3 linked regions of the Drosophila melanogaster genome follow. The protein of the gene in region 1 interacts with the protein of each later gene in a pairwise test. Each region holds a gene or a part of one and is shown in the gene's direction. Other genes may lie near its edges.

Region 1 (10,923 bases):
AATCTCTAATCACATGTGCTTCCTTATCTCCGCTGAAAACCTTTCAATTGAATATAATTTAACGAGTCAAAACATTCTGATACCTGTTACTCGTATATTATAAAGGTATACTCAAAGACACTAGAAGAATTATTCTAGGGTCTTTGGTATACTGGACTTGTTAAAAAGTATAAAACAAGTTTGAACGCTGTGATCTCGGAATCTATAAAAGTAGATTATGAATGCAGAAGTTTATTTTAGGACGTCGCCACGCCCACTCTAGTGCCCCCAGATCGTGGAAAGCTCTCACGCCCACAATACACACAAATGTCTATTGTCAACTTATAGATTTCATAGATTTTAATTTATTAATTTATTTGACAAAAATTGATCTTTTATTTTTTCAATTATTTATTTTGCTTCAATGTTTTTTAGGTGATTCACTGTCTAAAAGACAAGTTCCGCCAATCTGCGCTGGACGAACCATGTGCGAAGGAGATGATCAAGATCCTGCAGGAGCAGGCTCTCAACTACAAGTTAAACCCCCTGCTGCAGGTGTTCTGCAAGTCGGAGATCCAGGAACTGTGCAAGGCAAATGTGGATTCCGACGAGCACGGCCAGCTGGCGGAGTGCTTGAAGACGGCCTTCCTGCAGAAGCAGATCATCAACCGGCAGTGCCAGATGGAGGTGGCCACTCTGATCGCCGAAGCCAAGGCAGACATTCACGTTGATCCCATTCTTGAAACGGCGTGCACGGTCGATCTGCTGAGATACTGTTCCAAAGTGGCAGCTGGCAATGGACGCAGTGAGTTAAAATAATATACGACATATTAGTTAGTTCCCCATTGAACAGAAAGTTGATAGTTATTCTTAGCATCCAAGGGCGTCGCCAGGCCAAAGACACTAGAATAACAAGATGCGTAACGGCCATACATTGGTTTGGCACTATGCAGCCACTTTTTTGGTGACGGCCAAAATTACTCTCTTTCGGCTCACTCCCGCTGAGAGCGTAAGAAATCTAAAAATATAATTTGCTTGCTTGTGTGAGTAAAAACAAGAGACGAGAACGCGTATAAGTGTGCGTGTTGTGCTAGAAGACGATTTTCGGGCCGAAATCAATTCTGATCGAAGAAACGAATTTACATTGTACATATTAGGGTAGTTTTTGCCAATTTCCTAGCAATATGATAAAATAAAAAAAATTTAAAAAATTCGCGCCCTGACTATTATAATTTTAAAGCTTTTTAAATTTGTTTGTTAAAATCGCCGCTCGAATTAGCTACCGTTTACACATTTATATTTATGTTTAATTCTAATTTGTCTCTCATCTGAAAATTTTTTAAAAGCGAAATATTTTTTTTGAAACACTTTTAATGTTAATGTTACATCATATTAAGTCAAATGATTTAATAAATATACTAAATAATTAAATATGCAATTAAATTAAATTGCAAAAGTAATATCAAAGACAATAGAATTATTCTAGTGTCTTTGCTTTGTTCATATCTTGAGGCACGAAGTGCGGACACAAGCACTCAACAATCATTGCCTTATTAATTTTTCACACGCCGCAAGATGAATACTCTAATGACAAATATTCTTATATAAAGTCATTTTTGAAATATATTTTTGTGATAATATGTACATAGATTTGACTATTTCTAATCTATTTTCAAATAATAATAACGTTAAGGCAATGCAAAACAAGAATTTTTCGCATGGTGCCAATTGATCAAAAATAATATAGATTTAAAGCCAAAGAACTTCTAAGGTGAAGGGCATATTTTGTCAAATTTACAATGCATGTGAATTCGTGTGCACACATACAGATGTCTGCTATCACTTTGTGCGTTGAAAAGAGCTGTTCGCTGTAGCGCTCTTCGCTCTCTCGCTCTCTAACAAAAATTCGAGAGAGCCTGGAGCCACCTCTAGAGCCACGGCCAAAAAATCGTGTGCCAAAAAATCGTATGGCGTTACGCATCTTGTTATTCTAGGGTCTTTGACTCAACAATCATTGCCTTATTAATTTTTCACACGCCGCAAGATGAATACTCTAATGACAAATATTCTTATATAAAGTCATTTTTGAAATTTATTTTTGTGATAATATGTACATAGATTTGACTATTTCTAATCTATTTTCAAATAATAATAACGTTAAGGCAATGCAAAACAAGAATTTTTCGCATGGTGCCAATTGATCAAAAATAATATAGATTTAAAGCCAAAGAACTTCTAAGGTGAAGGGCATATTTTGTCAAATTTACAATGCATGAGCATACGTGTGCACACATAAAGTTGTCTGCTATCACTGTATGCGTAGAAAAGAGCGGTTCGCTGTAGCGCTCTTCGCTCTCTCGCTCTCTAACAAAAATTCGAGAGAGCCTGGAGCCACCTCTAGAGCCACGGCCAAAAAATCGTGTGCCAAAAAATCGTATGGCGTTACGCATCTTGTTATTCTAGGGTCTTTGGCCAGGCCATCAGCCAGGGGGGGCAGATAGTAGAATTCCTCTTCCTACACTGGAAACTCTTAGTGAAAGCACCTATCAAACAGCTTATGTATTTGAAGCAGATCGATATAATTGGAGGCAGATTGACTAAGAGAATAAGAACAGTACATAGTGTAAATAAACAACGGGAAGTTACGTGATAGGCAGCAAATTATGAAATTTCTTGAACATTCCTTTTTGGTGCAGGGGGGTGTGTGTGTGTGTGTGTGTGTGTGTGTGTGTGTGTGTGTGTGTGTGTGTGTGTGTGTGTGTGTGTGTGTGTGTGTGTGTGTGTGTGTGTGTGTGTGTGTGTGTGTGTGTGTGTGTGTGGTTGGTGTGGTTATAAATATAATAATTAATGTTTTTCTCTCTATGTTCTAGAACTTAATTGCTTAAGGACGCTGCTGAAGGATACGCCGAACTCGTTAGAGGCGGACTGCCGAGAAAAGCTGCAGCGACGCATAGAGATGTTCAGGAACGCAGACGACACGTTGGCGCTTCCGCCCGAGGATGTGCAGCAGCTAGTGCAACAAGTCGTCGCCTCTCCGGCGCGGAAATTCTTCCTTGTGATACTAATGAGCGCCACGGGCCTGGTCTTCCTCACCGGCATCTTCCTGGGACGGGCCACCAAACGGGCAATGGGCTTAAAGAATAAATAATTGAAATATTAGACTGTAGTGGCACTGTGTAGGCGGAGTGTGCATGTTTGTGAGCTTGCTGATTTCCATTTCGGCCCATCCATGACCCCATTCCGAAACCCAGAAGTATACTTTCACTCAACCCTGTCTGCCTTTCGATATTTGTGTGAGCAATTTGTGGCTTAGTCGTTTGTAAGACCAAAAAATACGCGAGAAAGGAGAACACAATCAAATATACTAGTTCCATTCTTAGGGCTCTTTTCGTTATAGCTTTTTTGTAACAATTTCACTTGTATATTAAATTGTATTTTTGTAAACAAAAGCCCCTTCTTTTTAACTATATCCACATGGAAGGCATCAACAGATGTTTCTCTTTGGATCAATACCAGAGCGCTAATACGGCAGAGCGCCTAGTTTTGAGTACAAAAGTTAAGTAAAAACTTGGGATAGGCTTATCAATTTAATCAAATAGCCAAGGTAACTCAAAGTATAAAATTTAATATTATGTCCTTGTGGGCTTATGAGAATTAAAATTTGTGTTAATTGATTAAGCTTGACTCTAATTTGTACCCTAGACACGCCTTTGTTATTATTGATATTAGTAATTCTATTATTATCCTTTGTTTTACGTTAAAAATTACAATTTCAACGAACTGTAGCTCTACAGGTGTTTTGGTATATTTGCACAATGAGCTGCCTTTTTTTAGTATATGGGACCGGATGGTATGTTGAAAGAGCCCAACTGCGGTCACACTGCTCGCAAGTGAATTGGAACAAGGAGATTTTATTGCGTTAGAAAAGGTTCAAAATAGGCACAAAGTGCCTGAAAATATCGTAACTGACCGGAAGTAACATAACTTTAACCAAGTGCCTCGAAAAATAGATGTTTTTAAAAGCTCAAGAATGGTGATAACAGACGTCCAATAAGAATTTTCAAAGAGCCAAGTAAGCAAGACCAATTCATTCACATCACAGGCACCCACACAGATGCAGCCAAAACAGGTTCTATTAAAATAGCTCTGGCTACGTTAGCTACAGCTGCGTCCAAAATAGTAGCACTTTTGTTGGCAGCAGCAACGGTGTTTTATATTGCGTAAAATTCAATGATTTATTTTTTGAAAACATCAATATAATATATTATAATACATTTATTATTATTATTATTATTATCTACTATATAAATATATTTTGTGATAGAATTAACCACCTCATACCTCTCTTTTCGGCTCGTAATTCCTTTATTCTAGACACACTCCATATTTATCTCTTCTCTACTTTATATTGCAAGTAAAATTTAAATTACATATGTGAAGATGTTTGGGTTTCAGTTATTTATACAGCCGACGACTATTTTTTAGCCGCCTGCTGTGGCGACAATGGACGGCGTTAAGGTTGAGACGTTCATCAAAAGCGAAGGTGAGTCCAATCACCCGAGCCATGCCACCTTGGAGCCCATTCTAACGCGACTGTTGCCATTGCCCTCTGACCTTGCAGAAAACCGAGCGATGCCCTTGATCGGAGGAGGCAGTGCCTCAGGCGGCACTCCTCTGCCAGGAGGCGGCGTGGGAATGGGAGCCGGAGCATCCGCAACGTTGAGCGTGGAGCTGTGTTTGGTGTGCGGGGACCGCGCCTCCGGGCGGCACTACGGAGCCATAAGCTGCGAAGGCTGCAAGGGATTCTTCAAGCGCTCGATCCGGAAGCAGCTGGGCTACCAGTGTCGCGGGGCTATGAACTGCGAGGTCACCAAGCACCACAGGAATCGGTGCCAGTTCTGTCGACTACAGAAGTGCCTGGCCAGCGGCATGCGAAGTGATTGTAATTTTCGTTTAAGTCGTCGTCTCAAGCTATAACCAATCTCTGGCCTGGCCAGAGTCTACGTGCTCCAGCAGGCTTTAGCAGAATTGCATTGTAGAAATTAGGAGATATCATATATGTAGCATTTAACTCTGACAAGTAATGAAACGTTATCGATTCACAGGAACTCAGTTTCCCAGAGCTTAATCAAGAACTGGTTGGATGATCTCCAATTCGAATTGGACTCAAAGATAAATAGTCTAATCTAGAGAAAGTTCAATTTCAATTGAATTCAATTCAATTTTCGTCTGTGAAGTGCATTTTACACCAAGTAATCACGTGAATCTAATTGCATCCCAGTGTTTGCTTCTGTAACGTGAATATCCACTTCAGTAACTTGCACATCTTAAAACTGCAGCGGCGGAGGCACAAAAGATTCCCAGCCTGCACGAACATTAACCAATTCACCCACTTACTCACCATCACCTCGCTTTGAAAATCATCAAACCGCATCCTCACCTCACTTCTCGCTCTAATTAATTGCCTTCCGTTCTCATCAACTTTTGTTCACAGCTGTGCAGCACGAGAGGAAACCGATTGTGGACAGGAAGGAGGGGATCATCGCTGCTGCCGGTAGCTCATCCACTTCTGGCGGCGGTAATGGCTCGTCCACCTACCTATCCGGCAAGTCCGGCTATCAGCAGGGGCGTGGCAAGGGGCACAGTGTAAAGGCCGAATCCGCGGCCACGCCTCCAGTGCACAGCGCGCCAGCAACGGCCTTCAATTTGAATGAGAATATATTCCCGATGGGTTTGAATTTCGCAGAACTAACGCAGACATTGAGTAAGTTGAACTTTGATTTACATTCTGGTTGGTCATATATACTTAACTGCCATGATTGATCCATATTTAACTTCTTTTAAACGAATTCACCATTAATAATCTCCTATTGACTTTGCAGTGTTCGCTACCCAACAGCAGCAGCAACAACAGCAACAGCATCAACAGAGTGGTAGCTATTCGCCAGATATTCCGAAGGCAGATCCCGAGGATGACGAGGACGACTCAATGGACAACAGCAGCACGCTGTGCTTGCAGTTGCTCGCCAACAGCGCCAGCAACAACAACTCGCAGCACCTGAACTTTAATGCTGGGGAAGTACCCACCGCTCTGCCTACCACCTCGACAATGGGGCTTATTCAGAGTTCGCTGGACATGCGGGTCATCCACAAGGGACTGCAGATCCTGCAGCCCATCCAAAACCAACTGGAGCGAAATGGTAATCTGAGTGTGAAGCCCGAGTGCGATTCAGAGGCGGAGGACAGTGGCACCGAGGATGCCGTAGACGCGGAGCTGGAGCACATGGAACTAGACTTTGAGTGCGGTGGGAACCGAAGCGGTGGAAGCGATTTTGCTATCAATGAGGCGGTCTTTGAACAGGATCTTCTCACCGATGTGCAGTGTGCCTTTCATGTGCAACCGCCGACTTTGGTCCACTCGTATTTAAATATTCATTATGTGTGTGAGACGGGCTCGCGAATCATTTTTCTCACCATCCATACCCTTCGAAAGGTTCCAGTTTTCGAACAATTGGAAGCCCATACACAGGTGAAACTCCTGAGAGGAGTGTGGCCAGCATTAATGGCTATAGCTTTGGCGCAGTGTCAGGGTCAGCTTTCGGTGCCCACCATTATCGGGCAGTTTATTCAAAGCACTCGCCAGCTAGCGGATATCGATAAGATCGAACCGTTGAAGATCTCGAAGATGGCAAATCTCACCAGGACCCTGCACGACTTTGTCCAGGAGCTCCAGTCACTGGATGTTACTGATATGGAGTTTGGCTTGCTGCGTCTGATCTTGCTCTTCAATCCAACGCTCTTGCAGCAGCGCAAGGAGCGGTCGTTGCGAGGCTACGTCCGCAGAGTCCAACTCTACGCTCTGTCAAGTTTGAGAAGGCAGGGTGGCATCGGCGGCGGCGAGGAGCGCTTTAATGTTCTGGTGGCTCGCCTTCTTCCGCTCAGCAGCCTGGACGCAGAGGCCATGGAGGAGCTGTTCTTCGCCAACTTGGTGGGGCAGATGCAGATGGATGCTCTTATTCCGTTCATACTGATGACCAGCAACACCAGTGGACTGTAGGCGGAATTGAGAAGAACAGGGCGCAAGCAGATTCGCTAGACTGCCCAAAAGCAAGACTGAAGATGGACCAAGTGCGGGCAATACATGTAGCAACTAGGCAAATCCCATTAATTATATATTTAATATATACAATATATAGTTTAGGATACAATATTCTAACATAAAACCATGGGTTTATTGTTGTTCACAGATAAAATGGAATCGATTTCCCAATAAAAGCGAATATGTTTTTAAACAGAATGTTTGCATCAGAACTTTGAGATGTATACATTAGATTATTACAACACAACTTTGATCAAATGTTAATCTAATTTTTATTAAAGATGTGGATCTCATCCCACAGATTGGCAGAAAGCAGAATACAAAGTCAAGAAATGGCAACGTGTAGGGAACAATTTAAAGGCGGTCGTTATATTTTTATTTTTTGTATAAAAATAATTTGATTGTTTACTAAAGTAGATAGACGAACTGCAGCTAAATATGCATCCAGTCTTTACAACTTAATCTAAGCTAGAGCGAGGGATTACTGTTCCTCTTCGGGTACCTTTCTGGCGGGCTTGTGCTTCTCGTAAGCCTCATCGTTGAGTCCCTCCCGATTCCGGGCAATCTCGATGGCCAGAAACTGGACGCGAAACACGAAGATAGAGTTGTCCGGGGAGAATTCCCTGCTGGCATCGGCGCGCATCAGGGTGCCATACGAGTAATCGTCCAACTTGTTAAACTTCTCGGCGAACTGGCGCCACTTGAGCTTCGCCGTGGCGGATTTGAGAATATCATCGGTAAGCCGGCCAACGTGAAGATCGGGAAAATCCTGCCGGAAAGTGGCGTATATCTGGTCGTCGTAGGGCGTGAGCTTCAGCTGGGAGGGATGGACGCTGGTGATGAGCTGCCGGGAATACGATGAAGCAGTGTCAACTACCATTCCTTAACATCGTTCAAAGTGTACTCACATTAAAGTGCACCTCGGCGTGTTCCAGAGCTTTTGCGGCCCACATTTCCTCCACCAGGGTGTCGTTGCCAAATTCCTCCGCTGGCCGCGACAGCAGCGACGCTCCATGCTAACAAGTCCATTAATCAGAATCGGTTAATTTCTTTTAGCCACTACATACCATCATCTCCATTTTATTTGGACAAGGTTGCTTATTTACTTTAAAAATTATTGAAACGAAAAATCACGTTTCGTACTTTGTTTAGCGCAGTGTGACCAGCCGCAAGTCGGGATGAATAACGTACAATGTCGTACAAATACCGAAGACAATATTGAATTCAAAATTAAATAAATAAATTTAAGTAATTGATATGCATTGTTGTACCAAACAGTCGAAAATTAATTTGGAATAAAATTGTTTCAAATCAAATATCTTAAAACATCAAAAAAAAAAAGAAATTTCTTTAAAATAAATAAGTTGAAATTCTAATAGCTTTTTTAAGATTTCAAGAAATTAAAAAGAAACCGAAAGAAACAGAGTCCTTTTACAATCTTATTCGCTTTGATTTTAGTGTCCGATATTTCTTTATTTTCCACACGAGGCCCGACTTGTTCGAAAGCTGTTTTTATAACTACACACGTTATCAGCACACAACAAAATTTCGGGAATCATGTTCGAATGCATAAGTTTCTTGTTCCTGGCTGCCTTGGCCTTCGTGGCCTGGGCCGTTCTCTGCTTCCAGCACTTCGTCCAGGTCCAGACGCGGCTCTCCTCTGATTTCCGAGTCGAATTATACACAGGTGAGGATGTCCATTGTTGTTTTGAGTTAAGTGAAGAAATGGTGGTTGAATCCAACACTACACTTATGATTTTTTAATCACTCTTAAAAGTGATCCTTTTAAAGCCGGATACATTAGAAGTTAATGTCTATATTATTTTAATCGTTATTTGTGGTATTAAAGGGTATTCGAGATTTGATTTAACATATGAAATAGATATCAGACATTAAGTATATGTATTAATCTTTCTTAAGATCACTTGCCAGTGATCTGGCCATGTCCGTCTTTCCGTCCGACTGAACGTAGATACCTAGAAAAGTTGATGTAATTTGGTGTTCCAAATACTTATCGACCCTTAAAGTTTTTCACAAAGTTGTTATTTACCTTTTGCCTTTTATTCACTTGTACAGAGCGTCCTGGGATTACGTTTGAGCCGCAGCTGTGCCACAGTCCCTCAGAGCAGAGTAGCTCCGACAGCTCCGACAGCACCTACCAGTTTGCGACGAGCTTCGGCGTGATCTTTGCCCTGACCTTTGGTCTGTCCAAGCTGCTCCAACTGGCGGAGCTGCAGGCCAAAAGGTATTTCAAGAGCAAAAAGGCGCTGCATCCCAAATCTGCTGCCAAAGTGCAGGACCCAGTTGTTGAGCAGAAGGCGCCAAGCCAGCAGGACGATTCGAATCCCTTCGATCTCCTGCAGGACCACAATGAAAATCTGAAGGAGCAGCTCAGTATCCTGCAGTTGCAGTGTCTGGAAATGCGCGAACTTCTGCACGAGCTGGATATCAGCAGTAGCTCCAGTAGCTATGGAAGTGTCAGATCCGGAAACCGGGTAGCAATGGCCAAGTCCTCCGAAGAATCAATGGTGGTGTGGAGGCGATCGGACTCCCTGACCGGTACGGTCTCCGGCTCATTGCACGCCGAAAAGGTCAACTCCCCCTCCACACAAAACATCTACATTACCAACAGCCACTTCCACATCAACGGACAGGTCTACCTGACCGAGAACCACGTGAACGTCGAGCTCACCCAGAACGCTTCTTTGTTCGGTCGGGGGCAGAGCGAGTTCCTGCAGGTGGCGGGAAGGTTCATCTCCGGACCAAAGAAGATGCCCATGTTAACGGGCATGCGGTGCCACAACATCCTCATATGAGGAGTCTTCAAAATCATCCATTTCACTCGGAATAAACAATGTTACTAGCAATTCAACGACGTTTATCTTTAGTAGTTGGTAATACAAGGGAAATGGTTCCATAGAAAAAGGGCATCGCATCAAATAAGGCTTGCTCGACTATAGGTTACTTTCTAGTTTTATTATTGTAGTTGATTTAACATAAATGTTTTTAAAAACTTTGGGGTTCGAGTGTTTTAATGTCATCAAGAAAAGGAATTTAAGGAATAATTCTAGCACATTATCTATAAAGGCAATAATCGCTTACTCCTTTTGATTTACAAAGTTATTAATAATGTACATATGTACTTAATTAACACCAGAAATCGATGCCATTTACTTTGTTTTAGTCTTGTATTTAAAATTGAATTATTCGTTTTTTTGTACTGTATGTTTTTTATTGAATAATTTGCTACTAGAATGATTCCGCCATGGGGTATATTGGGAATAGAAGGGTATGGCTAGCTTTATTGGTCATTGGGTAAATGGTTTTCCCCTGTTTTCCACCACCCCAATAAGTATATTTCGTTACAAACACATGGTTTTAGAGTTCAGCAATAATGATTTAGCACTTTGGGGTCGACCAAGGAAAGATTTTTTCTTTAACCATAGTTACTTTTACCTGCATGTATCACATTATGCATTGACCTGCTTGGATCTACAGAAAATCGTAAGATTAGTTGGGACGCACCGTAAAAAGATGAGTGCAGCTGCTGGAAAGCCCTTCTTTGATGACACCTGACCCAGGTAACATTGTTAAATATGCTATGTTGCCCATTTTACAGAACCAAACGACCTTGGGACATGTTTGTATATAAGCCTTACGACTTACCTATTCACTTCAGAAGGAGTACAACCCTTGTCATAGCAACATCTTTACAGATTGCCAATTCCTGTGCTTATTGCCACATTTTAAATACGCATTCGCCGTGAACAAACACGAAAATAAGGTAAGTTTAAGGTAAGGATTGCCATTGTGGGTCAATTCGTGCCGAGTTAGCAAAGTCATAA
Region 2 (10,141 bases), on another chromosome or scaffold:
ACTACTTAAAAATATATTTAAATATATAACATGTAAGTTATTAAAATAAGTTAAACATGTTTGTTGGTTACAAATCGTACCAACTAGCGAACAAGCTTAAAAATGTTAACCCGTTTTTCTTTGGAATGAATATCATATCATTGGCCGCAAAGGTTGCGGGCTATTTAGATAAACGCTTCCAAGGAGTAAGTACATTGAAATCCATCAAAAGCCACAATTTCCTTGGCCATTCCACTCGGGGCCATCACTTAACCCATCCACCTCATCAATCTCCGACATTTGGCTAACTATCCGCCAGGCGATCCAACTGGGACGAAGTCACTTAGAGTCGGCGTCTCAACTCCAATCCAATCCACTCCAATCCACTCTACTCCACTCAAGGCATCAAGATCGGCTGGGATTGGATGCGATGCCATTTCATGTTAATCAAACAACGAAATCCATCAACAGGTGACACACACCGCCAAGTGGGCGGCTGCCGGTGGGCTGGCGGGCGCAAAAAGGGGGTGGTGGGCAGCAGCGACATCCAGCAGACATGTCAGTGCGATAATGGTGCTACTTCTCTGCCAGCGGAGTGGAGTATGAGTGTGTGTGTGTATCTAAAACAACTTCATTCACAAAAATCGGACCAACAAAAAAAAAACGGCAGAAGCAAAGTAGCAGAGCATCTGCAAAAAGGAAGCTGGGCCATTAAAAATATCTTGTGGATGCCATGGCCAGGCAGATAGCAGCCGCCACAAGATGCATTCAAAAAGGCAGAGGCCACTTGGTAGCATCCTCATCATCATCATCATCATCGTCATCATCATCACCGATGGTTTTAGCCGCGGCTTTGGAACCGGGAGCTGTGCAACCTCGGAAGCAACAGCTGCGGGGGCGGGACAGGGTCGCTGGTCGCTCAGTTGGCCGGTCGGTGTTGGCCGACAGTGCAGCCAAGGAATAGCCAAGAAACATACGCCTAATGCCACAGTCATCGACATCCGCCATTTAGCTAATTAACCCAATGTTGCCCAAGGGAATCCTGCTGGTGGGCTGTTAGAAAAAACAAATAACTTGCGCAATTAATTTCTCTATAATATCGTTATTCTATTTTAAGCCAAGAACTTGTAAAGATATTTGTTTAATATTTAAAGAGGTTTCAAACGTTTAAAAATATCTAAAAATATGTTTTAGCTCAAATTTTAGTATCATTTGCTAATAATAGCATCACCTCTTAGATATTCAACGGAAGAACATAATTTTCATAAAATGTACTTCCTAATATAAAGTCAGCCAATCATACTATCATAGGCCATAAAGGGTTAAGCGATCTTCTCCCTCTCCTCAGCTTAGCTCCTTCTCGCTCCCACCTTTCTGGGCTTCTGACGCAGCTTCTTCAGCAACCTCAGCGAATTGAGCTTCTGCTGCTGCGGCTGCGCAGTCGCAACTGTCTACATTTGTCGGCCAGCCTTCTCTTTCCCACCTTCCTGCTGCCACTGCCCATGGCACTGCCTCCACGTCTACTCTTATTCTTCTTCTCCGCCGTGTTCGTCTTGTTCTTCTTCAGTCGATTGGATGTCCAGCTTTCAATTTGCAACATAAAGCATCTTCATCGTGGGCCGCATGAATGGGCAAGTGACTGCGAAAGGGGGGAAGGAGAGGGAGAATTGGGTGTGGGCTGGGAGCTGGTTCTGCACCTCGAGCCCACCCCTTCTGCCGATCATCTGGCCATCGGGCAATCCAGCAATCCGACAATCCAGCAATCCAGCAAAGCGGCATTGACGGTAGGCACTCAGGCGTGCCCCGGCGGTAGTCGCTGACCTTTATTGATTGCTGTTTGACCTCGCCAGCCATTGTGGCTGTTGCTGTTTTCGCTGTTACTGTTGCATCTCCTAACCATTTGTACTTGGCCGATCGCTGCCATAGATTGCACTTGGCTTGCACACGGGCACAGTGGTGGAGAGGAAGGAGGAAGGAGGAGGAGGAGGAGGAGCGGCAGCTGTGGGCGGATGGGGAGCGGTACACGCCCACTAGCATCGGCGCGTCGTCGTTTTGCTTTCTGGCTTTTTGTGGAGCCTTCATTGTTGCTTTTCTCTTCGATGCACTCGGAAAACTAATTATCTTGTTTAGAAAATAAGAGTATTTCATTGAAAAACTACTGGAAAGTATAGGCTTAATAGTTAAACAACATATATAAAACATCATAAATATGTATGAAAACAAGTTAATTTTTAACATTATAATAATATTTAAGCGTTGCATATTAATATATTTTTGGTTTAATAGATAAGCTACACTTTTGCCGTATATCCTTTTTCTCTCTCTGCTGCCACTGGTAGTCTTGTTATTGTTGCTCCATTACCTCGTTCATGGCAGTTAATTTATATTCGATGCATCTCCCTGTCCTTTTCTTGGGGCCTCAATTTTTAGTGTTCTCTTCTTAACTCTTTTTTTTCTCATTTGAACTTCCTTTTTGATAGCGTAGTTGCCGAAGGTCGACGTCAGTCGTCTTCGTTGGTCGTCATTGACGCCTTTCCTTGTACTTAGCCTACCATTTGCCAGGCTAAAACAAAAGACAAAGGCAAGGCAACAATAAACAAGAAAGCTTGTAAAATGGCAAATTAGACTACCAGATACCTTTTAGTATGCACGATTAAGGGCTCGAAAGTTAGCAAGGTATATGAGAAGCTTAAAATGCGTAATGTTCATTTTGTATAACGTTTTAAGAGTTTTCAAAGTGTAAATTTGGTTGAATATTTTAGTATAAATATATCGTTCTATATATGGTGAAGGGTTCTAAATTAAATTGTTTTACAATGATATACCCCGCAATTACCGGGTACTAAAACGCAGCACACTTTGGAAGCCTCGCTTTGTTTGGCTTCTATCGTGTAGTTTGTTTTGTTTGACAGTTTCTATCTGGAGGGGCTATCAAGTCGGAGCTGGCGAGTTGGAGCTGAAGTTCGAGCTGGAGCTGAAGCTGCAGTTGGAGACTGCAGCCGTGGTCGCTGTCGTTTTGTTTGCTTAATTGTTTGGTTTCCCCCATTTGAATGGAGGTGGAGCCCCTTGGCAGGGAAAATCGTTCGTCTTTCTCGAGGTGGGGGCGATATTTTCCATGGAAATAAATTAGCTGATTGAGGATAACCGTAGTTAGTCGACCGGGAATGGTGGAGTCGAATGGCGAATGCAAATGCGAGCGGGTGACGTACAAGTGAATTATCACCTCATACATTGTGCCTCTTCTGAACGATATCTCCATCTTGTCGCCCTAATGGGGATGCGGATCTGTGATGATCCCATCGGGAACACGATTCGCTCTTGTTTTAATCACGTACCATATCATTATTTCAAGCATTTTAGGCGTCTTCCGCTGGAATTAATCTAGTAAAATCTATAATTACACTGGGTTACACGGCTAAGTTTTAAGGACACGAAGAAATCGAACCCTCCTCGACTACAATAGTTTAAGTTTAAGATTTGTGCATACTGTTAGTATAACAGAAATTCAAAACATCGCATCCCAAGAGTATAAATGTAATACCATAATGAGTCAATTTTTTCAATAACTACTCAAAAAGCCATTAGCGTGTGTTGGCCAGTGTAATTATTGACCGGTCTTGCTTTAATATCAGCAGCAAATCAGATCACTTCATAATGATAATAATCACTCAGCAGAAAATAAATAAAATAACCTGCTGCAAGCTGAAGAGAAATCCAAAGAGCGCCGCTCTTCGACTCTCTTCCGCTCTCTTAAACCAGAAATTCATTCATACAACCAGTTGTTGTTGCTGTAATCGCCACTTGTCGCTCCGGTGTGGAAAAAATAGGCCCCAAAGTCGATTTCGATCGCTTGCTGCTGCACAGTTATTTTTCCGAAGCTCTCGAGTGCGGGTCGATACGGAAGCTTTCTCGCGCTTGCGGTCCATTCGAAGAATAATAATAGCAATAGAAAACGTAATTCAAACAATTTAATCAAAACGCGGCGATCGATGAATATTGTTATTGCGACTGCAGGAGAGAAATTGTTTGTTTAATTGCAAGCGTGCCGCAAAAAACGGTCGACAAGTGCCAAGCCAACAGCAACAACAACAAGTGAATTATTGTACTTAATTTTAACGTACAAATGCCAGTGTGTGTGTGTGCGTAGATTCCGGCAGCAAAGTGTCAGTGTGTGCGTGAGCGCGGCTTTATCAATTGCTCCACATAAAAGTTTTCATTGAAGTGTTTGACAGCAAAGAATTCCAATTCCCACTTAGCAAGAAGAAGAAGCAACAGCAGGGGGAGAAGAAGCAGAGAGGAGGCAGCTTAAAACGGTAATTAATACAAACACACATTTCTGATTCGGCTATAAACAAATGATTCAGCAAATGTCCGCCGCAGCAACTGTAAATGCTGCGCAGCGAGACATTTGATTGAGCCGCAACTCTAATACAGGCGCAATTACAATTACAGTCGTCAGTCGACGGGTGACAAAAAGCTGCGGCGACGCATGCTTGCAATTAGTGGGTAACTGTTTCGGTCCACCTTCTTCTTCACTGCCCCGCTCCCGCTCGCGTACTCATCATTCTCCTTTCTCCCTTTGTGCGTTTGATACTCCCCCGCGTGGGCACAGTGAAGCCTCGAAAGATTGGGATGTTCTTTATATTATTTGCTAAAAAAGTCAAACAAAAGTGTATTTGCAACAAAAAATACGTTTTAAAATAGCTGTTATCTTGAAAAGCATTCGGTAATACCAAAATTTGGTGTCCTAATAATCTGAATTAAGATGAATTATTTTCCTTCAAAAAATTCAAATTTCAGCGACCTTAACTTTGTGAGAACATATCGCAATAGTTATTGTAAACTTTAAGATTAATCATAAGCTATCCTAAGCATCGTAATAGGGAATGTGAAGCATGTGTGTCAGACCAGCCCGTACTTTAGTTGACTTTTACGGTCTTGCCGTGGACATTTTCCAAAGTATTATTTGCCATTTTGTCGCGTTCATTAATTGGCCTGCCTGTGAATCGGCTACCTGTTCCCTCTTGCAGACTTTGTTGTTGTCCGATTGTGACTCTCTGCGGAACGGTAAGTGCAAATTTAACGCTCTCTTTGCTGGTCTGTTTGTACTCGCCTGTCTGTCTGTCTGCACGGGGAACAAATAGATGATCCATTTGTTTCTGCGAAAAATCGAATTGAATAGTAGTCACACAGAATAAAAATAAATATTAAACTATAAAAAAAAAACGTAATAGTATTGCAATCGAATTCGAAAATAAGTAACAAAATCAAACCCCTGATCAATGCTGTATTTTATTAATTGTTCACTTATCAAAGTTAATAAAATGCAATTATCAATTTAAATGTGAAACCTGAAAATGTAAATGCTTTATTTTCGGTGTAGTCGTCTGGAACACTTGTTGCTTGTTCATTGTTTTTACAGTTTTTAAGTGGCGCTCATATCCGGCGTTTGTGGTTGTTGCTGTTTTTTATTTTTTCATTTTTGCGTTTGCTTTTGGGCCTGATAAGCGAACTCACCTTTGTCGCCCCCTCGCCCTGCCCAAATGCCACCCACTTCACTCTCTGGTCACTTTTTGTTGTTGTACATACCTCCGATGGCCGTTATTGTTACAGTTGTCGTTGTAAGTGCAGTTGTGTGTTTAAGTGTGCACACCACCTGCATTTCATTTGCATTTCGCATTTTTGATTACAATATTATTTTAGGCGCTTCGCTTTTTCCGTTTTTCCCGATTCGCATTTCGATTTAACTCTTCGATTTTTGAGTGGCTCTAAACCTTTGTGATTCAGTTAACGTTTATTGCTGGTAATGGCCATCTGTTCTTGGCCTATGGCTCATTGATTTCTTTGTTAGTTTGCCTCATTGTGGCATGTTTTCTTTATAGACCTCTTTGGTCAATTTCTCACTTAGTTTAGAGGTAGCTTATTCAATTAAAATGGTAAGACTATAAGTTTTTAATTGATAGGTTTTTTTAGTACGCTTTTGTTTAATTACTTTTAGAATCGATTTAATATGCTCATACAAATAGAGCTCAAAACATTTATTATTAACATTAATTATCGTGCTCATGCTGCACCTTAAGCTAATTAACGAAACTCAAGAGTTCAATCTGATAACATACAAGACATCTCTTCTTAATTATAACCGATAAATATGACATTTGTCTCAAATAAATCAAAATACTTTTCCATCTTTGTTGTGTGTCAATTTTCGAAGGTTCTCCTTGGGTTCGTTTAGTCTCACAACCCCCATAGGAAGCATAAGGCCAGGCCATCTGTTGATTAACCGATCTCGCAGCGATTGCAATGCATTTGCCCGGTGGATGCAGTTGATGTCTCAAAGTTCAGAATGTGAAAAAACACATTTCGGTGCGCGTTTAATTAAAGTTCAGCACCTCACTCAACCCACTCGACTAAAATCACGACATTTGCGATCATTAACACAGCCGCAAAGATATATATGTATGTATTTGTTCATATGTATATACATATATGTATGTATTTGTATAGTCAGGCACACATGCGATCGAGTGTGGGCGCCCAGATCGGCACTCGATCATCTGTGGAAGCTGGGACAGACAAAGTGGATGCTTTATGGAGAAATATGATTTCATGCGGCGGCTCGAATCAAACAAATAGCGAATCCAAGCAGAAATAACAGCCATATTGTGCGGTGCTGCGGTCAGTGATTAACCTTAGGTTCAAGCAGCGATCTTTGATCTGTCAAAAGATCAAATTATGAAAACCTACTACAAGTCCCCGGAGTCAAAAAAAAAATACCAAAAAGGTAAAAAAAAAAAAATGAAATCAGGGACCATAACAAAACACTGCCAATCAGTTCAATTATGGTCTTATGATCTTCGCAGCGCGAATTCGCTGACGGAATATAATGGCGAGTACATAAAGTTAACTTCAAGTTACCCCTGTTCGTCGAGGATTGCTGAGATCGCGGCGGTGGCGGCAAGTTCATGTGACAAAAATGTCACAGTCAGCAAAAAATTAAAAAAAAAAAAACAAAAAAAAAACCGCAGTCGATCTCATCTCATAACGAAAGCAGAGGGAACCGATCTTTAGCAAAGAAAAATAAAAGTTAAAAACGCCCTCAATGCCCTCAAAGTGATCGTCACTTGCTCTTCATTATTTTTATTATTATTATTATTATTTTTCCTGCTTATTTCGGGTAGAACGGGTTATTGTGATGCGATGATGATGAAGTTGCTGTGCGGCAGAGGTTCGTTTGTCTTCGTCAAATATTTACTTTGGAGTCCGCTAATGACATGAAACGGCGAAATTGTGATGTGAGCCGCAGGAAACTGTTGAATTTGTTATTATTAGCATTTATTTTTGTATATATTTTATGATGCCAGCTTGGGGATTTTCTTTCCATTTTTTTTAAATTTATTTATTATTTTTTTTTTTTTTGCTGGTACTCTATCAAGTGACAAGAGAAGTTTGTGAGGCAAGCAGTTATGTGCCTGATTATATGATGATACCTGAGCCAGTTCTCACCCTCGGCGTGTTTTTTGCGATACACTTTTCAATGAGCTGGCAAATTCCATTCACAAATCGTCGTCTAAACGGAAGTTGAGACTTCCCGAAAGGTCAGAAAGATTTTCGAGAATTTCCACCAATTCTGACTTAAAGTCTCGATCTTCATGTTTTATTCCACAGAAAACTGAGTATTTCCTAGACGAACATCATATTGCATCAGGTCTGTGCGTGCTTTTTCCTAAATCTAGTTTACTCCAATTTTGTCTGACGTAGTTTGGTTGTTATCAGTTTTTTTTTTTTGGTTACATTCGCATAAATTATCATTCGGTTTGACCAATCCGAGCCTAACCTAAACCGTTTAATGTTCATTTACTTTTTCCTTAACTTTATTACAAATATGTTGTTGTAGTTTCTTCGCTTCTTTTATGTTTTATAGCAGAAACGTGTTAATCGCTGCATATATTTCTATAATTTTCGATTTTGTTTTGATTTTTAATATAAATATTTATACCTAGGCTCTTTAATCTCTTAATGGCTTACAGGTTTGGCTTTGTTTAGGTTGAGGATTGGATTTTGTTAATCTGAGCGTGTTTGCTTTGGTAGGTCAAGAGTTTAAAGATGGCTCACGATAAGTGGGTGAGGTGTGAGCTTGTTTAACTGCTTAAATATACGGTTCGCTGTGATGGGGGTCAGTGGGGCTCTAGAATGGAAGAATTCTTGGTGATGTGGTCGTACTGCTAAACTTTATTACATAAAAAGCAATGGCACTGAAGAAATGCCATCCTCTTTTGGTAGAAAACCCACATAAACAAGATATCTTCAATAAGAAGTATCTTCAAGTAACCACGTATCCCATTTGCTGTGACAAACAGTATGTCGGTGCAAGCATATAAGGATATTTTGGAGCCCTCACTTCTTCACTTTCCGATCTTGCAGCACGCAAACAACACGTCAGTCATGAGGATAAACACTTTGGTTGTCCGCTTCCGCCTCGTTTATATTTGACCTCCATTCACTCGGCCTTTTGCAGGTGTCACTTTTCCGAGTACAGTTGCCACACGACCGACCGACCGACCTGACCCCTTTGTGTTGCCCCATAACGATCTTTGCCTCGTCTCGGCCAGTTCTTTTCGCCTTAAAAGTTTTCGTTCGTCACTTGATTTTGTAGCTGCCATGTTTTTGCCTCACATCGCCGACGACAGGCTTCGCCTAAACTGGTGCAAAAAAAAATGAAGAAAACATGCAAAAAAATAAAAAAATATCAAGCTGAACTGAACCCAACACGCTGATGCTGCCCACACGCCTCGACATCGACTTGACTTGGCCTGACTTGGTCTCAGATCCCAGGTCTCAGTCTCAGGTCCCTCTACCCAAGGCCCAAAGCCCAAAGACCAAGCCCAAACCCAAAGCCAACGACTCTGCAGTCAGTCTGTCGTCTGACAGAGTTGAGTTGTAGTTTTGGTTCACAAAAAATGAAAATGACTAAAAGATAAATACTTTTTGTATGCCACTACAGTGCGAGCTATGGCCATTTGTCCAGGACATAAACTACAATTAATACTCAATAGTTCGGATACACTGACATGGCAGCAACTAAGGAAAAGTGGGAAAAAGAATGAATACAAACATATTTAAATGATGTTCAGATATTTCATTGCTTCAGAATAATTTTATAATTAGATTGTATGGAGATCCGTAAGATTTTCACTTAATTCTACATCCGGTATGAGTGAATCTTCCAGTTGCATTAAGTTGCCGGTACGCACTGTATATCCTAGCAATTGACAGACTTAGCCAAGATTCCGAACAGCGTGTGCCGCGCATCTACAGTATATAGTATATACAAGTATCTATATCCACGTATGTGCGCCAGATACCCCCACTCGCACTCACACCCTGGCACGCTGACTATATTCAGATCGGTTCAAACTCTCGAATGAAGTGAACTCGAGGCGCGCAATATGTCGCTGTCATTTTGGGGACATGTTTGCATGTGTGTGTCGCCGATCGCTCGCGTATCTGTGTGTACGCCTGCACGTGTGTGTATCTGTGTGAGGGCAAACGGGCGTTCGTTTTTGAGGTCTGTGGGCATCGGTCGATGTCGGTGTCGATCGGTCGGTCGTTCGGTCGGGCGCTTGGCATTAGCATTTTCAGTGTTGCTTTATTTTTAGATGCGCGCAAAAAAGCCAACAACAAAAACGCAACAGAAATTGCAAGTGTCTGCGTTTGGAAGTGTGTGCACGTGTGTTGTTTGTGTCTTCTATATTGCTCGGAGGTGACTGACTGACAAACTGATGGACTGAATGGCTGACCGACGGACTGCCAAACTGATGACATTTTTGACCAGCAATGACACAAAGTAACTTGCAACACATTTTGCTGAGGTTCTGATAAACAGCGTCTTAGAGAATGGGGATCAACTAGTAAAGACTTTCGAGGACTTTCATTACTGACATAAAATAAAGAACAGCTTATCTTGTAAAATGGAAGAGTTTAATTTCCAACAAATCATGTCTAACTAATTGATTTCGATTTCTCCATTCATCACCTTATTGGTGATCCCATTTTCATCTCCCCCAATCGCTAATAAAATAAAGCAAAAAAGACAGATTACTGGGCTGCTATGCTGACAGGTTAAGAACATGTTATCCCCAATATTTGGTCTCTGTCCATA
Region 3 (10,629 bases), on another chromosome or scaffold:
GGAATCGCCTCCAGTCCGCGCTCAAACACCTAGGATTTGGTCATTTCGTATGTTCGGTACAAGTTTTGATTTTTTCATTTATTGTTGATTGATCGCAGAAGAGAAATATAAAAATATATTCGTGGTTTATAGTAAGATTTCAAGAGTTAAGTGCTCAGATACTTAAGGTTATCGTTTTGATGTGAATGGTGTTCGGGCTTAAAAGCTAACTTAGCGACTTAACAAGTACACGGAATACATAACACACAGGTTGTAGTTGATTTCTTTTTTGGCACTCGATTTACAACAAAATTCACAAAGAGACTTAAAAATTTCATTTAAACGCCATTTGTACTTACGACTGTACGAGATGCGATCTCACTATTTATATCGTGTTGAAGAAGGATGGAGGTAACGTAACTGAAGAGGTAACTGGTGATACAAACGTACGAAGATCAGAAAGTAGACGGATCGTACTTCGAGTAGACGAACCAGTCGCTTTCGGGTTCAGGTCGGTCTGGGGTTCGAGGGTCAACAGAGTTGAGCTAGTCTGTGCTGAGTTACAGCGTGATTTGTGCGACACAGGAGTGGCTTATGCTTAAACGGTCCAATTAGTGTCGTGAAGATTAAGGACAATATCTCAGGGGCTAAGATCGCCAAAAAAAAAGTGCTAAGGTGTAGGGAGTACGGAGTGGTAAATAAGGTCGACGTCCGGTCTCGAAATTATGAATTTGGTGTAACTAAGGTTACAAAACAGAAACTACTTTAAAGAAACGTAAACAAATTTGGAGGCAATCTCTATACGCGACCCATTAAGTCCATTTACTTAGCTTAGCCTTTGAAACAAATTGCCAAGCTCCCCCATAAAGCTTTCACCATCTAAAAAAATTAAATCCGTACCCTTTTTAGATTCATCTCCCGTAAAAAGTATTTAGCAGACACGAACCCTATGAGAAAACACGATCCTAAGTGGATGCTGCACTAGTCTCATGGCAAGTTTGGTTTTGTCTTCTCAATTTGGTGTATTTTGGTAGATGTTGCATTTATTGAATGTAGTATTTTTATTAGGTCATAATAAATTGCATTTAACAACAAATATATGAATATCAATTGTAATCGTAATTGTAAGCGTAGTACAAGAAATTGCGAAAGATATTTATTTGCACGACCAAATGTAAGTGGGGTACTCACCTTATAGCAGTTTGCCTTGATGCCCTTGCGCTTCTCGTAGTCGGCATACTTGCGCCAATATCCGTAGCAGTAAGGATAGTGGGACAGGAATGTGTCGTAGGCCTCGCGCGCCGCCTCCGCATCAGACTGTTGAGAAAGAAGAAAATTGCTTATTTAAAGTTCAAGATATGCGGCGTTCGGCTAAATAACCACCTCATTGTCAACATATTGCAGCAAGTACGTCCAGCCGGTGAAGTCGGTGGAGTCTTCTTTGACAGCTCTCCAGTACTTATCTAGGTCCGGCAGCTTCTTTCGCTCCTTTTCCTTATCCTTATTATTATCTTTGTCCTTATCCTTCTCCTTATCTTTATCGCGCTCCTTTTCCTTCTTTTTCTCCTTGGGCTCCGATTCTGTGGGTTTAAATATTGTGAGTCAAGCTCTACCAACTAATTAGTCATTGGAAGATTAACAATTACCTTCGACCTTGAGTTTTTTCTCTGAGGGCTGTGCGTCGTTGCTCTCAGATGTGGGACTGCCCGGATTATATTGCTCGGAGGATTTATCCTTTGTGCTTGATTCATGACTGCTTGCATCCTTATCTTCGGTGCTCTTAACGCTTTCGTTTTCCGCCTTGCGCTTCAAAGGTGCCTTGGGCTCAGTGGCGGTGTTATTGTTATTACTGGCGGGCAGTTCATCCTCCGAGATTACTTCAGCATCCTCTGGCAATTCAGCCCGCTGCGGTGCTGGAAGCTCTTCATCGGAAACTTCCTCGGCATCATTTATTTCAGGCTTGCTGGGCAGAGGTAGCTCATCCTCGGAGACTATCTCTGTGTTGACAATGGTTGCATTGCTGGTGTCCGCATCGGCCAGATCCTCGGCAATGGCATGTTGTGAGCTGGAGTCCTCAGAGGAATTCATTTTCTCCATCTGCGGCTGCAGGGAGTCTACATTGTACTCAAAGTCCGCCTTCTTGACATTGTCACTCTCGTCATTTCCACCCACGGAGGGCAGGCTGTTGGCATTATCGCCGGCTAAAGAAGCCAGTAGGGTGTCCACGCCAGCCTGACCGCGTGTCTCTTTAATATCATCACTAGTCTCTGAATGCAGCTCCGCCACCGTGCCAAACGGGAAGGAAGAGCTCTTTTCATCAACCCCAGCAGCTTCGGCTGGCAGCATTTCCACGTCATCCTCTATCTGGTGCTGAGTCTCCTCGAATTGGGGCTCCAAAGCAGGTGCCTCCGCAGTGTTTGTCCCTCTAAAGGGCTCCTCCTCTTCCTGAACCATGACCACTTGCTCTTCGGCCTCCTCTTCGTGGTCACTTAGCTGAAAGGATTAAAAGTCGTTAATGAAGGTTCCCGGCATTTCTCAGAGCATTTGTGGATGCTGTGCCTTCAGTTGGCCCTTGCAGGTAATCACTCGCTCCTCCAGGGAGAAGAATCATGTGCGGATGGAACAACGCCACACCCACACTGGAAATTGCAATCGTTTACATCATTGGCTGATGATCTGGAAGAGGCGGTAACTACGTGGGATGAACTGACCTGTACGTTCCGCTTGGATGTGCGCCGGGTGCTTCTGGTTGGCAGCGATGCAGCCGGGGATGCGGCCTTCCGACCAGAACGTGTGCGGCGACCTGGAAAACGTCAATTAACTTTCTTGGTTAATCCATGCGGTTTACATAAACTGTACGCGCGGTGTTGTGGGTTGTTCGCTGCCTCGTGATGTTCACTTTTTTCCAAATGCTTTAATGGGCTGCTCCAGCTAACTGTCAGTGTCAGCTACCGAAATGGGCTAGTAAGGACTGAATTTTTAATCAACGGTCACTAGGTCCGGTCGAAGGAATGCACGTATTTGTAATTTTTCATCAATTTACCTGGACTTTCCATAACAACGTTTTCGCCCTCTGACGCCATATTAACATTGCAACGTGGTATCGATATACATGTCCCGCCAATATCGATATCTCTTTGTTTGGTCAAGACTGACGACTGACTCATAGCTATATTTTGAATATTTTTCAGAGGTTTTTCGAATTTCGATATTTATCATTTTTTAGCATTGATGAATGAATTATATACAATCTATCAAAAAATATAATTTAATAACGAAAATAGCCTAAGTGCTCAGTGTTTTTCCAGTTCGGCGAACTAGTTCATTTTTTGGCGTGCGCATGCAGAACCTATCTCAACATACAAATTCTAGCAGAAATTACATGTTCCAGCTAGAAATATAATTTAAATATTTTATGGTAAGAGGACTTTAAATATCACCATAAATAATTCTTAATGAAAGAAGATAAAATTTGTTTAATGTTACACATATTATAAATTAGTGGGTTATTAAGTTAACATAAAAAACATAAACAAATAACACAATCATTGGGCCTACTTCCTTTAATATTTAGGGTTTGAATGTTCAATGCATAGGATTTTAAAAGCCCAAAAAATTGTTATAGTTTCTATACAACATAATCGTGAATTATATCAAGTAAATACAAACATGTAAATGGAATTGGTAAGTAAAATGTTTCCTTGTCGGACAAGATTTCTTTTTGAGTCAAGAAATCTCTTTAAATGTTATTTAGAATGGTGAATCCAGTCGTGAATTAAATATAGCTAATAACCCGCCTGGCGAGCATCACTCTTAGCGGGACTGCCACTCGTGCGCGTCTTCTAACACTGTTCTCAAAATGGCGACTCGAGAATTGTAAGCGTGACAAAAACAACAAAGCCAAGGCGCATTTCACAATAATTAAATGTTTTTCGATCAATTGCGGCGCGTTTAATACAACGAAAGCGATCGCGATGAGTGAATTGGGGACCCAGTGACCGGGCAACGGCGACCAGTGAACGCAAAGCGTCAGCGGCGCGGCGAACAAAGACAAAATACGGCGAGCGAAAACGCCGACCGCATAACCTGTACGTGTAAGCAAGGCAAGGCGAATGGAAGGCGGCAAGGGCGAGGGCAAGAGAATGAAAGAGGAGGCGCCAAGCAAGAAGTTGCCGCCTAAAATCTACGGCGGCGATGCGGGCACCCCCACGAAGGCGGCCCACGACGAGATACTCAGCTCTCTGCTGCGGATCAACAACTTCGACTCGATATCGAGCATCAAGGACGAGTCGCTGGACATCGATCTGTCGGCGTGCGTGACCATCAGCTCCGCCAGCCTGGTCAATGGTAACAGTCTCTCCTCCACCGACTTTTGGCGCGTTTTGGACGAGAGTGCCCAGAACAACACCGAGCTGAATCTATCCTCGGACGTCTGCCGCGATGACTTGGCTGCCACCAGCTCGTCAACCGTGCCCAGCACTCTGACCAGTGATAACCACTCCAGCTCGGAGTTTAGTGTGACTTTCCTGCGGCCCGAGCCCCCGAATGCTTTCACTAATTCCCCGTTTAAGAAGACTTCGTCCAGCGGCACCTCCACACCCGTAAAGCTATCGCCCGAGCAGCTCCACCAGCAGCATCAGCTCCAAATGCCCCAGTCTCAGCTGCTGCAACGCAAGCCAAAGCTGCCGGCGGCGACGGCGGTGCGTCTGAAGGTCTTTAAGGAGGAGCCGCCCGAGGAGAAGCATCCGCCGGAGCAAGTGGTCACCAAGGTAGAGGTGTGCGAGTCTGAGCTGCTGCCGCCATCGTTTACCATATTCCAGCAGGCCAAATCGGCTGAATCGGTGGCGGATGCGGCTAGCATGCCGCCTCCGGCTGCTTCGGAAACGAAGCCGTTGGAGGTGGACCCGGCACCTCTACACAAGTGTCTCGACTGCAACGGACTGCTGCTGGAGACGCCCGATGAGGTGGCCAAGCATGAGGCGGCCGCTCACAGGCTGAGGCTCACCTATCGTTGCAGCGAGTGCCAGCGGGAATTCGAGTTGTTGGCTGGTTTGAAGAAGCACCTAAAGACGCACCGCACCGAGGGCCGCAAGGACACCTGGAAGAAGTGTCCTGACTGCGGCAAGTGGTAAGTGTTACTGCAAACTAAAAATAGTTATTCCTATTGACCATTTTACTCTAACTTTAGCCTCAAATTGGGAAGCATGTGGATGCATCGGAAGATTCACAGCGATAACAAGAAGTACCAGTGCGACATCTGCGGCCAAAAGTTTGTGCAAAAAATAAACCTCACGCACCACGCACGGATTCACTCATCGGAGAAGCCGTACGAGTGTCCCGAGTGTCAGAAGCGATTCCAGGAGCGCTCACATCTGCAGCGCCACCAGAAGTACCATGCGCAAACGCGTTCCTATCGTTGCGAAAAGTGCGGCAAGATGTACAAAACGGAGCGCTGTCTCAAGGTCCACAACTTGGTGCATCTTGAGCAGCGACCATTCGCGTGCACAGTGTGCGACAAGAGCTTCATCAGCAATTCGAAGCTTAAGCAGCACTCCAACATACACACAGGAATGCGCCCGTTCAAATGCAATTATTGTCCGCGAGACTTCACCAACTTCCCCAATTGGTTGAAGCACACGAGACGCCGACACAAGGTGGACCACAAAACGGGCGAACACCTCGAGAACATTCCCTCCTACTGCTCTAAAAAGTCCACTACAAACAAGGCCCAAAAGGCAGCCGCGGCAGCAGCAGCAGCGGCGGCAGCATCTTCAGCTGTGAATCCCAACGAACTCTCCGCTTCTAGTGAACTTAAAGCCAAGGCTAATCTTACGTCTACTGCTGCACCGGCTCCTGCAAAACAAGCGCGGAAAAAGAAGCAGCCGCAGCAGGCCACTCTTGCTGCATTGGGAATAACTCTACCTGCCGGTACTGCTCTGCAGCAAGTGCATCCTGTGCCGCTGGCGCAACAGCATCAGCAGGAACTTACCACTGTGCTGGTGCCGCTGGCCCCGCCGGCTCCTAAGCAGACCAAAGCCAAGCGAGAACGAAAGCAGCTAGCACCGAAGCAACTGCAGCAAAAACCGCAGCTGCTGCAACAGGGCCAACCCCAGCAGTCCAGCTTAGAGCCCATTCCTGCTGTGCCGCAAATCAAGAAGGAGCCAGTGCAGACTCAGGGTCCGTTCCTTGACTTACACGGTCTTAGTCTGACTTCAGCCGAAGAGCTGATCATGGAGCAGGCCCTGGAGATGGAGGAGTGCGGTCTGTACGATGCTCCTAATGCAAACACTGAAATGGGGACGTCGGACAACGCCATTTCCGATTCGGCCGCTGCCCTGCACTTCCAGATAAAGAATGAATTACCGGACGAGCTGTTGCCAGACGATGACTTCTGTAAGTTTCTAATGAAAATGTCCTGTTTTATGAATTGATTTACCTAGTTATTCGTATAAAATAGTATTCCTTTTAAAAACTTTATATTAATTTAAAATTTTATATTTGTAGTGCCTTGTAAGCCCAGCGACCGACTACCTTGCCCCTCACTGGAGTCCTCGCCGTTTTCGTCACCCGCCTCCATGGAGCTGACCGCTGTCTCATGCGCCTCCAGTGTCGCCATATCGACGAATGCTCTACCAGTGCGATCTGGGAACTACTATCTACCCGCCTTTACGCTGAATGCACACGGAAAGCTTAGTAGTACGGGCAATGGTGTTCAGTCTGTGACCACGAGCTTGGCCCAGACACCCTCTGTGTCCATGGTGAATGTGCCTCTTCTGGTGAGATCCAATCAGATGCTGCCCTCAGTTGACACGCTACTCTTCACCAACCAGACAGGCGGAAGTCGATTCTTTGCGGGGAAATCGGCGACTGCGGCCACGCCGCATCTGACATGATCGGGCGGCGGAATCTGCTGCCTGCCAACATCAACGCCTCAACGATCTCCTGTGTCTTAGTTAAGTTAGCAGTGTCGACCATGTTGCACCAGCGCAATTGGGCGGTCGCGGACCGATGGCAATCGATTAAAAGAATACGGAATTGTTTCCCGTAGGTAATTAAGAGTATGACGCTACATTTGTTTAAGTAATTGACGTAAGCTGATTTCTGCATAGCCCGTAAGTGTAATTGAGTGTACATATAAACGATTATATATAGATACATAATGATAGATCTTTAATTTGTACGCTTCACACCAATAATAAATTTCGTACATATTTTAGTAAACATCCCATCATTTCTTGCAAATTGGAACCGTTCCCTTCTTTGCAAAGGGCGTAATTTAAATAGGTCGCGCTGTAATTCGATGCAAATGGGCTTAGGTTTACCATCTATCTAAGAAGATCATTCACTGTCCAAGTAGAAGAGTTTTAAAAGTAGCTGGAGAAGATGTGGGATAAGCCAGGTATAAAAGACTTAAGTTATCTGTTCCGAAGAGATACTCACAAGGGCTGAATACCTACTCAATCGCAATCACGAATTGGTTTGGGTGGCTCAAAATGGTGAGCAAAGCCTGGATTGTAAGTATTGTTAAAACGAATATGAACTCCCCGTACCGAGCACTGTATGTTTTGATTGTAGTAATTAACCTCCACGTTTCTAATATATATACGTACTCAATCTGATCGTAGTTCTAATCTAAATGAATCCTATCAGGGCAACCCCAAAAGCTTTAATACTTGAAGCCACCTTGTTGTACGTTGTTTTATTTAATTTATTAACGTTACTTCCATCAGTTGTTGAAATGTGTATGAAACCATCAGCTACACGTTAGTTCCTAATCTTAAAAACATCTCCTATTACTTCGCAACAAATGCTGGTGGGTCTCTCAGTTCCCTTAGAGTCGAACGCTCGAAATTTAATGGTGGTCTTGTAGCGTCCTTCACGAAGTGGGACGGTAACTGAGGCGGACAAACTGAGGAAATAGGTATCCAGAATGAGCTTCGTCTGAAATGAAATGGTTTGAGATCAGCTGTATATGGCGATATAGCGAATCCTACCCCTGGAGCATTTATACATTGATCCTTCACATCGTTCATAACATGTCCTGTCCATGGCTCATAGAGTACATTACTTTTATCATACATGGTTTTACAGAAATCCTGGGAAAGTATAGAGAAAGCAGTCGACGTCCACGTGCCCCGATCAAAGTAGAAAAGCTTAATGAACAGCTGCGGAATAATTGGGCTGTTCTTGATTTTATGGACGGATTCGCACTTAGGACTTAATCACCTGTACGCGATCCCCGCGTTGGATGTCCCACACCAAAGTCTGATTCCCGCTTACAGTCAGTCCATCCGCCTCCAAGGAAGTGGAGAACTCTGAAAAATCAAAGAGTCCATGGATGTCGAGGGTGCCTGGCTCAGGATTGGGACAGCTGCTAAATATTTCTTCATCGGCCACAGAGAGTTCGTAAAAGGCGCCATTTGCCTTGTAGAATAGGGAGACCAGCGCAAGAATAATTATTTTCGCATCCATTATAAATCCGTGCACAACTAAAACTTTTTAAAAAGGTCGCTGGTGTTATGTCCAATATATATTTTTTAAAAGCACGCCATTGGAATTTTAATAATAATAATTACCCTCCAGCTGACACAGTTATCGTGTGTACACTTATAATCTCACATGGTGCTTAGTTTTAATTGTCTACTTAAAATCGTATTATTAATTATTTCAACAATCTAATTTTTTATGGTTACCAAGTTATAATTCTAATGAATAATGAATTAGGATCTAAGAATACCAAATGCTTTATTTTAGTTAAATCTATTTCCTAAATTGATTCTGCTACTATCCTGAAGAAATTGCAAGAGCAAAAACTGTCAGACCGAATAAAATGCATTTTGCATTGCCCTAGGGTTTGTTCCACATACTCCACTTCCTTTTTTTCCTATTACTTTGAGCGACACTCAAAAGGCTGTATATCAAAGTCAGCAGACAAACAGGGAGTTTAAACGATTTGCCTTTTAGGCTTCAGTTAGGGGTGGGATTGCATTTCATTCCACTGCTGCACCTAAAAAGGGGTAAGTCTTCGTTTTTGTTTTATGGGTTAGACACTTGGTTTTAGTTGGGGAATTTAATACGTTTTTTAATCCCAATCTGCTGAAGTGTACTACAGATGCACAACGAATAACTTATTTTTAAATCCTGTTTCACCCAAACTGCTAACACTGTGCTTTCAAGATCTTGTGGACTCCAAATTTATGGCACTCTCGAACCTGCCAAGACATCGTCGATTACCATTTGATATATGGGCATCGTTGGCATTATGAGGCATATTGAACGGAATGCCAAATGGAGCAAATTTCGAAATCGATTTGGTTATTCGAAGTGAAGTTCACACATTGAATTTCGTCTCCAGTTATGACCAGTTTTGGGAGTAGTAAAGCGTTTTGATTTCAATCTCAACATATGATGACACATAAAACGGTTTCTTTAAACTAAGGGAAACCAAGACCCTTTCAATGTCGACTGAGCCGGCGGTGTGCCTGCTCCCGATTACATAATATCCATATTCCACGTACCCGCAAAAGGGTAACACACAGTGCCACGATTGCTGACAATGTCGCAACAACGGGAATGACAGCATAATAATAATAAAAGGGTATAAAACACCCGACTTTGTAATGGTGGGAGGGGGATTCGCGAAAAGCGGCAGTGGCAGCAACAAATACAAATAGACCAACAGCGATAAATATCGAAAGGCATAAATAAACCTGTGTGCTCGGCTGCGTGGGTGAGTGAAAATACAGGAGCATGTGGCGCCTAATCAGGTCAGGTGAAAAAAACGTTTAATACCATTTTCAAATATAGTATAAATTTGTTTAACTCCAGAGCTAGAATTTTAGTTCAAACACACCACTCAAGTGACAAGCCTAAAAAGTTAAGTATCCGGCATAAGGGACCATAGTGAGTAGCTTATTGGATGGAATTGTTGTATTCAGGGGCCCCGTTGGCCGTTGGCGCCCAAGTAACGCTCCTGGTCGAAACGAAAGAGTTACGCGTTGCAACAACAATGAAGGACCGCTCGTTGGCGGCAAAAGTGAAGATGCCTGGCGTCGGTTTGTCGACGCTTGGCGCGTTTTGTAAATATTTACACATGTAGCAGTTACCTGTGATTGTGATTGTGTGTGCCCTGTGCATGTGTGTACTCACGGGGATGTGTGTCTATAAATACACACACGCCCGCGAATCTTCGCCAAAGTCCTTACAATATGTGTGAGTGCTTAAATATTTGCCGCTTGCCTTTCTAAAAGAAAACATTGCCTGCTTTTGGGGGCTGTCATTTATTACTGTCTGCCGATATTTTAATTAAGTTTATAATGCCAGCTGCTGTGGCAAGTGGGCGTGGTGCCACCCATTAAGCCAGCATCATACCACAACACTCGCAACATCCACCACCCCCCCCCCCCTCCCAACAGTGCAGAAAATCAAAGGCAACGAAAAGCAATAACACACGTGGCACGTGACTTGTTTACCATATAGAATTGTTTGTCTGCACGGTTTAAATGTCGCAGTGCACATGCAAAAGGATATATGTACACACACATGAGCCTACGGCAATAGCACTGGTATTTGTCTACTTAATATAATGGTTTTCTAAAATTGGCTCTTTTTTGCCAGTGTCTAACCATGTTTCTGAAGTACAGAAGCATT

The links.
Region 2: the proteins of Hr78 (region 1) and Samuel interact in a two-hybrid assay, tested with the Drosophila melanogaster proteins (one study listed by BioGRID).
Region 3: the proteins of Hr78 (region 1) and wdn interact in a two-hybrid assay, tested with the Drosophila melanogaster proteins (one study listed by BioGRID).

Annotation. Positions count from the first base shown.
Region 1 is NT_037436.4:21,490,419-21,501,341, reverse strand, and holds Hr78 (Hormone-receptor-like in 78), read left to right. Parts: upstream 1-3,847; 5' UTR 3,848-4,051; intron 4,052-4,158; exon of another isoform or gene 4,159-4,199; intron 4,200-4,320; exon of another isoform or gene 4,321-4,434; 5' UTR 4,435-4,482; coding exon 4,483-4,522; exon of another isoform or gene 4,523-4,600; coding exon 4,601-4,921; exon of another isoform or gene 4,922-4,949; intron 4,950-5,473; coding exon 5,474-5,743; intron 5,744-5,861; coding exon 5,862-7,036; 3' UTR 7,037-7,323; downstream 7,324-10,923. Other genes in the region: Glg1 (golgi complex-localized glycoprotein 1), read left to right, coding at 415-784, 2,850-3,127; CG7519 (uncharacterized protein), read right to left, coding at 7,560-7,922, 7,987-8,094, 8,146-8,157; CG7202 (uncharacterized protein), read left to right, coding at 8,636-8,765, 9,155-9,894.
Region 2 is NT_033779.5:11,060,696-11,070,836, reverse strand, and holds the start of Samuel (SAM-motif ubiquitously expressed punctatedly localized protein), read left to right. Parts: upstream 1-3,838; 5' UTR 3,839-4,292; intron 4,293-10,141.
Region 3 is NT_033777.3:28,804,548-28,815,176, reverse strand, and holds wdn (wings down), read left to right. Parts: upstream 1-3,839; 5' UTR 3,840-4,091; coding exon 4,092-5,107; intron 5,108-5,167; coding exon 5,168-6,372; intron 6,373-6,483; coding exon 6,484-6,872; 3' UTR 6,873-7,194; downstream 7,195-10,629. Other genes in the region: Prp39 (pre-mRNA processing factor 39), read right to left, coding at 1-29, 1,171-1,296, 1,363-1,559, 1,626-2,472, 2,691-2,782, 3,023-3,062; CheB98a (chemosensory protein A 98a), read right to left, coding at 7,744-7,920, 7,974-8,144, 8,206-8,451. UniProt on the Drosophila melanogaster protein: May belong to a complex set of multifingered proteins which play an important role in gene activation or regulation at early embryonic stages through a maximal accumulation of their transcripts (or protein product) in the mature oocyte.